Rattus norvegicus: one gene and its partner. The protein of the gene in region 2 purifies or fractionates together with the protein of the main gene of each other region. This does not show direct contact. Links are inferred from orthologs where the notes say so. Each region holds a gene or a part of one and is shown on either strand. Other genes may lie near its edges. The genes, in order: Haus2 and Haus5.

Region 1 (4,316 bases), on a different chromosome or scaffold from region 2:
GTGCTTTCTTCTGACCTCCATGGGTACCAGGCATAGTACACATACATACATGCAGGCAAAACATTCATACATAAAATATTCAAATAAAGATATCTATATGTAAACAACATATAGTGCTCAGGCTCTTTAGAGCTCAGGCTGTAACCTGGGGCCCCTGTAGTGGCCTGTTTTCAATCTTGACGCTGTATCTCTCTATATTCTGTGTTATTCCTTCCCTCAGAATAAATTTATTTTCCATTCTTTAGACAAGAGGCCAAGAACCTAAATATTTCTAGCCCAGACCCTGACACACTGGTAATATACAGACTAGACGGGGTTAGACTGACTAGCTAGCTCCTCCTATCTCTGGCTCCTAGCTCTAGGACATTTACCTTCACATTCTGCTTTTACCTGGGTGTGAGGGATCTAAATTCAGCCCTTTGTGATTATTTGATAGGCGATTTATTGATTAAATCACCTCCTGAGTCCCAGTACCTGTTTTATATGGTGCTTTGGATCAAACCAAGGGCTTTGTGTGTGCTAGGCAAGCACTCTATCAACTGAGCTATATCCTCAACCCATTTACTTTTTTCATTTAAGGGTTTAGCAGGGCATGATTGTACATGTCTTCAATCCCAGCACTCAGAAGGCAGAGGCAGGTGGATCTCTGAGTTCAAAGCTTGATCTATAGAGTGAGTTCCAGAACAGCCAGGACTACACACAACCATCTGTAATGGGATCCAATGCCCTCTTCTGGTGTGTCTGAAGACAGCAACAATGTACTCACATAAAATAAATAAATAATCTTAAAAAAAAAAAAAACCTAAAAAACAAGAAACTGGCTAATGTGGAAGATAACCATAAAACCACCACTGTACAGTGCCTGAGGTTATCTACCTTTCTATAGTTCAGAAACTTGTATTCTCTGTCAACACTTTCAAGAAGGACATTGAGTCTCAAATGTGTTACTTATGAAATAATCCAGTAGTTTTATGACAAGAGAATGGCACGATGCAAGGTGAGAATACTCTGCAATGTGGTAGAAAGAAAACAGAGAGGAGTGAGAAAGGATTAACTGAAGAGTACTGTGCCAGCTCCTGGGAAACCAATTAGCCAGGGCCAATTCACACACTCAAAGTAATGCTGGGTCTTAAACAAAGTCCAAAATCTTTCACAGCACAATGCTATCACATTCACCCTTATTATTTTAGCACTATTTATTTAGAGACTGAGTCTTGCTATGTGGCCCTAGATGGTCTGTAACTCACTAGCCCTGGGATTACAGCTGTGTACCACCCTGTCTGGCTGTTAACTCATTTTAAAAGATGATAGAGCAAAAGGGAGAGAGTTATAGGATCTAATTCTGCCAGCTTGCTGAGTGATACTGATTTCTTAGTCTCTTTAGGTGCTTCTTATTTGTTTAATGGAGACATGGTCTCCTCCCTCTATCCTAGGCTAGCCTTGAACTCTGAGCAATCTTTCTGCTTCCAGCTCCCAAGTGTTCCCAAGTCTTGTGTCACCACATCTGGCTATTTAGGTTTCTTAAACACTTTAGGACATGTGTGAAGTCTCTATTACCTCTTTCAGACATTAAAACCAAAAAACAATGAAACCAAGGGGCTGGAGAGATGGCTCAGTGGTTGAAAGCACTGATTTGCTCTTCCAGAGGGTCTGGGTTTAATTCCCAGCAACCACAAAGCAGCTCACAACGGTCTGTAACTCCCATTCCAGTGGACCTGACACCTTTACACAGATATACAAACAGGCAAAACATCAATGTACATAAAATAAAAATAAACAATTAAAAAATCTTCCATTACTAGCACTGCTAATTTCTACAGACGAATTAACTAACTTTCCTCAACTTCCTTTTTGTATCAGTTTCCTTCCTTCAATCATAATGTGCTTGATTTCTCACTCCCTCATTCCTTTCAGTTATTCCTTCAGATATTCGATTTCTCCCTTCTGTCTACCTGCTTGTCAAAACAGTCACTTCTTGGGCTACTCTTTATTCTTGTCTCAAAATCTTCACAGTGCAAGGGCATACCCAGACACACAGAGACAAACACACACTTTTAATAGATGCTGTCCTAAAGAGTCTCCGCTAGAGTTCTTCTGTACACAGGGCCCCAGATATATTTTAATAATTCCCATTAACAGGCGTTGTTGGAAATGTTTTTAAAGATACCTGCCACTATTTCTTTCTCACTGTCCCCACTCTACAATTTAGAGCGGTGGTTCTCAACTGAGTGACTCTCAACTCTTGGTGGGGGTCAAACAACCCTTTAACAGACACGGGTCGCCTAAAGACCACCGGGAAACACAGATGTTTACATTAATATTCCTAACAGTTGCAAGATCACAGTTATGAAGCAGCAACCAACGGAAATGATATTATGGTTGGGGGTCATCACAACATGAACTGTATTAAAGGATCGTATCCTTAGGAAGGTTGAGAAACACTCTTCTAGAGGAAGTAGTATCACTGAAAAGAAAAAAAAAAAGCGGAATGCTGGTCCATCTCCGACAAACCGGCCTGGGATAACCTGCAGGCACTCAAAACAGAGTGCTCGGAACACCAGCACTCTGTCCCTCACACTCGAAGAGCCCACGGGAGTATGGTCACGGCTGCAGTCTCCAAGGGACGCTACTAAGTACTCAACACAATCCTCAACTGGCTCACTCACGCCCGGGTAACCAGGACCACCACCTCACAGCTGAATTCTGTCGCCACCTTGATGACGCCGTCGCCGCCCCCCACGTACCTCAGTGACTATCCCTGAAGCCACCAAGTGGTTCAGCAGTAACCCAGCTGCACTCGGCGCGGACGCTGGGTCCCACGGGTTGGCGGCAGCCATGGCTCCAACGCACCTCTGGAACTGGCGCGAGGAGTGAGGGGCACACAGCGAACGTGCGCGCGGTTTGATGATGTCACAGGGCGTTCCTACCCGGGCGGAAGCCCTGGGAGCGCGTCTCAGGCGAGCGCGGGTCCCGGGTGTTCCCTGGTGGAGTCTTCTCTGCACTGAGCGGTAGGAGGCGAGTCTTGAGCTCCCTGTTCCGGCAGCAGCTATCGGAGGCTCCCTGGCCCTTAACTCAGGTGCCAACGCAGCAGGATCTTGTGGTAGCACTATCTGCTCGCTTGCTTTCCCCTTGTTACTCTTGGGCTGGCCCCTGGGAAGTAGGGATAGGCAGAAGGTGACAACTGGGACAGGAGACCTAAACGAGAGGTTTAGCGATGGCTGTATGTCTAGACTGGGCGGTGACAGCTATGCTTCTTTCCTGCAGGGAACTGAGCCGTGGTGCTAGGATGGGAAACAGTGCCCTCCGTGCTCATGTGGAAACAGCGCAGAAAACTGGTGTCTTTCAGCTTAAAGACCGTGGTCTGACCGAGGTGAGACCTGAGGGGACCGGACCTAGAAACTAAAAGGGAGAGGGATGGCGGGGTGGCGAAGTCTATTGGTGCAGGATTTTTCCACACTGTGAGCTCCTTTCTCCAGTTCCCCTCAGAGTTGCAGAAGCTGACAAGCAATCTTAGGACCATCGATTTGTCCAACAACAAGATCGACAGCCTACCACCTCTGATAATAGGAAAGTTCACTCTGCTAAAGAGTCTCTCTCTCAACAACAACAAACTGAGTATGGATTTTGTGCCTGGGCAGCTTTGGCTAGTAATCGGCAGTTTTACTGAAGGGTGTTTTCCCTGTTAGATGATTTTTGTTATGAAATCAGTTTAGGGGATGCAGAATGTTAGAGTATTGAAGCTTTTATCTCTTGTAATTAAATCTAAAAGCCTCCTTGGGTAGTGTAATCATTATTACTAGGTTAATTTGGACTAGGAAGACCTTTGGGAATCGATGTAAACACGATGTAAACAGTTATCTAATTTGGGTGGCAGGGTGGAATGAATCTTTTAACCTTCCCCAGATTGTTTTTAGAATACACTTAAGCCCCTTTACAAAAAGAATCCATTATATACGTACACACTTTTCTGCATTTTGATGGCTTCTTAAGTCCCAAACACCGTTTGTAAAAGGTGAAACCTAGACATGACATGTGAGGATTCTATGTAAGAAGTCAGGCCTGTAACCCCAGCCACTCAGAGGCTGAAGCAGAAAGATAATTCCAAGGCTACCCTAGACAACTTAGTGAGACCCTGTCTCAAAATTAGAAACAAAACCAAGATGGGGCAGTTACCATGCTGTCTTTTTATAAATTTCATTAGTTCTAACATTTAGTTTTTTTCTTTAATTTTCTTCACCAGCTGTTCTACCTGATGAATTATGCAATCTGAAAAAACTAGAGACACTAAGTCTCAACAACAATCACCTGAGAGAGCT
Region 2 (3,811 bases):
GTGGCCTCTTTCCCAGGTTCCAGGCCTTAGTCTTCCACCCTCCATGTTAGCCAGAAACTTCTCCCTCTCTTGCTCAGAAGCCTGCTCCTCAGGTTCCCCAGTGCACCCCAACTCCTCTGAGTCCAGATTCCTCAGACAGTTTGCACTCTGTGGTTTCTGCTCCCTTCTGGGGGAAACGCCAGAGCTTACGTGAGACACCATGCTTTTTGGTTTTTCTTTCTCTTTTGAGAAAAGGTCTCTATGTAGCCCTGGCTGTCCTAGAACTCCATATGTGGACCAGGCTGGCCTCACACTTATAGACACCTTTCTGCCTCTAACTCCTGAATACTGGGATTAAAGGCGTATGGCCTTTATTTTTTTCTTTTGAGGCAAGGTCTAATCTAGTACAGTCTAGCCTCAAACTTGCTATAGAAGGATGATGCCAAGCCTTTACTTCCCAAGTACTGGATCTGCAAGTGTGTGCATGCATGTGTTTGTGTATTTTAGGTTTATTAGGTTTTGTCTTCATGTATGTGTATGCAGCACATGTGTGCCTGGTGCCCAAGAAACCAGAAGACAGCAGCAGGTCCCCTGGAGCTGGAGTTACAGATGGTTGTGAGCGGCCACGTGGGTGCTGGGGACTGAACCAGGGCCTCTGCAAGAACAGGTGCTCTTGACCACTGAGCCATCTCTCTAGCCACCTTCCCTTGGAGACAGGTCTCACACTGTAGGCCTTGCTGGCTTGGAACTTACTATGTAGACCTCACTGATCTTACACTCACACTCATACATGCCTATGCCTCCACGGTACTGGGACTAAAGGTGTACGCCACTATTCCCAACCACCACACCTAGTTTTATGCAGTCCTGGTTATGAAGGCCAGGACTGTATGCAAACTAGGCAAGCACTCTATTCCCTGGGCTCTATCTTCAACTCACCATCTTTCCCAGGGCCTTTTCACCCCACTTCCAACTTCCACTCTTGCACCATTTCCCCCCAAATGGTGACTGGGCCTTGTCCCCACTGCACCAGAACAGACCCACTGAACCCGAATGCAGAGCGCCGCCGTCACTGAGTGCCTTGTCTGCAACCTCCACCATGACTCTTACATGCTCTTTATCTAGGCCTGCCGTCTCTGGAAGTCTCTGAGTCATGGGTTAGTGTGGCAGGAACAGATATGCTAGCCCAGAACCCCGAATTTGGATGAGCTGACATGGGGGTTAGGGATCATTTGGAGAGGAGAGAAGACAAGAAGAAAGGGAACAAAATTATTCTTTAGAAGAGAGGAATCCAGGAGCTGTTACAGATGCATAGGCAGGTAGTGGTGGCTCACAGCTTTAATTCTGTCAGATCTCTGTGAGTTCGAGGCCAACTTGGTCTACAGAGTTGCAGGACAGCTAGGGCTACACAGAAAACACAAACCAAACCAACCAACCAAACAAAAAGAGTTCAAGATAACCATTAGGCTGGGGTAATGGTGTGAGGTGAGAACACCAGCATTTGGGAAGCTGAGGGAACGAATTGCTTGTCTGAGGCCAGCTTAGGCTGCTTCACCAGACCCTGTCTCAATAAACAACAGAACAACAAAAGACAAACAACAAAAGAACACTGGGCCATCAAGATGGTCCAGCAGATAAGAATGCTTGCTGCCAAGCCTAACTACCTGAGTCTGAGCCTTGGGACCCACATGATGGGAGGAGAGACCAGGCTCCAACAAGTTGTCCTCTGACCTTCACAAACATGGTGTGGCACACACATGCACACACACTAAAGCAAAACAAGGTATTCTGAAGGCAATGAGTGAGTAGTTGGCAAATGGATAGACTGTATAGCCTTATAGTTCGATCCACATCTAACCATGGGGTTGGGATTGGGATGGGACCCATGTTCATAGCCAAGCTCTTGCCTGGGCTGGGGAAGCAGGGGGGCAGGGTGCACACCTTGGGAGGCAGAGGCATGAGGATCTGAAGTTTGAAGACAGTCTGGACTACACAGTGAGATACACACCAAAAGACAAAAAAAAAAAAAAAAAAAAAAAAAAAAAATCAAACCAACCAACTGTACCGTGAAGTCAGGCTACTAAGCCTTGTACACCTGAGTTCCCTGCTCTGCAACTGGGGGGGTGGGGGTTGCTGTGCAGCTGAAGCAAGCATGCTTCCAGCACACTGCAATACTGGGGTCTTTAACACTTCCGTGCTGGCGCAGACCGGAAGGAATGCTGGATCTGAAAAAGCAGGCAGAGCCAACATACCCTGGGTGGATGGTCCCGGAGGCAGACTGGTCTTCACACTGAGATTTCCTCCTCGGAGACCCCACTGGTCTTGGAGAAACAGAAGATCTTGTCGGAGAGAGGCCGCCCTTGGAAGCAGTAGTTCGGGTGCCTGGGAGTAGGGAAGGACGGTCAACTTGGCCACAGGGTTGGGACTGGGATGGGCAAAAAGGTCACAGGTCATGGACACCTACTTTCCCTACAGGCAGTCCCAGTGTGTGACTCAGCAATAGGAGGCTGGAGCCCCTTGGGGTAGTGGGGTGCAGCTGATGGATAGATGGTAGAATCCTGGATAGCGGCTTCAACCTGTGGGAAGGGCAGCAACAGAACATCAGGTGGTTTGATTTACAGAAGCTCATGGACTTGGAGGTAGGCTTAGGGACTTAGATGATATGGGGTAAGGTTTGGCAAGTCTGGGGACCCTGGGCTACTTTTGTGTGCATGTGCAGGTGTGTATGTGTGCAGAGACCCAAGGTAGACAGCAGATGTCTTCTTGGTCACCTTTATTTTCTAGATTGGGGCTCTCCTCTCACTGGACCGCACCTTGGAGCTACTTGACTAGGTTTCAGAGGGAAGACAGGGCTGGCCCCACCTCACCCTTTGACTTGGTATGGTGGTAGGGGGCCCAGGATAATGTGGGGCAGGTGTTTGGCTTCTTCCTTCAAGCATCGAAGCAGTTCTTGGCTCTGTGGTGCCACAGCCTCAGAGGTGGGAACAAGCTTCTGCCGAATCAGGGCTAGCACCTGTGGGATGGAGATGGTAGGTGGGGTAGCCAGAGCCCACCATGCCTCGCCCAACATTCACCTTACCTCCTCTGGACCCCGGCTCAGGCGAGTCTTGCTAGCTGAGTTTCCCTTGATGAGCAGACGGATCTGTTCCTGTCTCTCCTCCTGGGGAGTCAGAAAGCCACCGACACTAGCTCCCCGTTCTTCCCACTGCCCAGGGCAGGCAATCCACCCCTTCTTACAGGGGACAGGTCCTGCTTCTTCCTGGGAACCCCCCACCCCCCGGCTCCCTTCCTCAGAGGTCAGGTTAATTTGTTCCTTCATCCCTCCCCTCCATATCTCTTCAATATTTTTGAGGTTTATTTATTCTTAGTTTATGGCATGGCTGTGCTGCCTGTAAGGATATCTAGGCACTGCATGTATGCCGCCTGCTCACAGAGGCCAAGGAGGCCATCAGATCCCGGGAACTGAACTGCCAGCTGTGAGCTGCTATGTAAATGCTAGGACCTGAACCCAGGTTCTCTGGAAGGACAACTAGTCCTTTTGTCAAGACAGGGTTTCTCTGTGTGTCTATCTCTGTCCTAGAAGTAGCTCTATAGACCAGGCTGTCCTTGAACTCCTAGACATCATCGTGCCTCTGACTCCGGAGCACTGGGGTTAAAGGCATAGGCTACCATGACCCAGTGTAGCCAGTCCTCTTAATGCTGAGCCATCTCTCATAGCCCTGGGAGACCCAGAGCTTGGTCTCTAGACCCCACACCCCTACTCTAACCGTCTACCAGGCCCAGGATCTCACCACCAGCTGCCGCCACTGTAGGATCCTCTGCCTCTTGGCCT

Evidence for each region.
Region 1: the proteins of Haus5 (region 2) and Haus2 purify together in Homo sapiens (affinity purification with mass spectrometry; 5 studies listed by BioGRID and IntAct, with this or other methods). This does not show direct contact. The link is inferred for Rattus norvegicus from reciprocal best matches to the Homo sapiens genes HAUS5 and HAUS2.

What each region holds. Positions count from the first base shown.
Region 1 is NC_086021.1:128,005,470-128,009,785, reverse strand, and holds the start of Haus2 (HAUS augmin-like complex subunit 2), read right to left. Parts: upstream 2,893-4,316; 5' UTR 2,838-2,892; coding exon 2,745-2,837; intron 1-2,744. Other genes in the region: Lrrc57 (leucine-rich repeat-containing protein 57), read left to right, coding at 2,905-3,008, 3,265-3,370, 3,477-3,615, 4,241-4,316.
Region 2 is NC_086019.1:95,040,551-95,044,361, forward strand, and holds part of Haus5 (HAUS augmin-like complex subunit 5), read right to left. Parts: coding exon 3,771-3,811; intron 3,140-3,770; coding exon 3,059-3,139; intron 2,993-3,058; coding exon 2,847-2,992; intron 2,556-2,846; coding exon 2,444-2,555; intron 2,362-2,443; coding exon 2,232-2,361; intron 1,189-2,231; coding exon of another isoform or gene 1,097-1,188; exon of another isoform or gene 641-1,096; intron 635-640; exon of another isoform or gene 534-634; intron 1-533.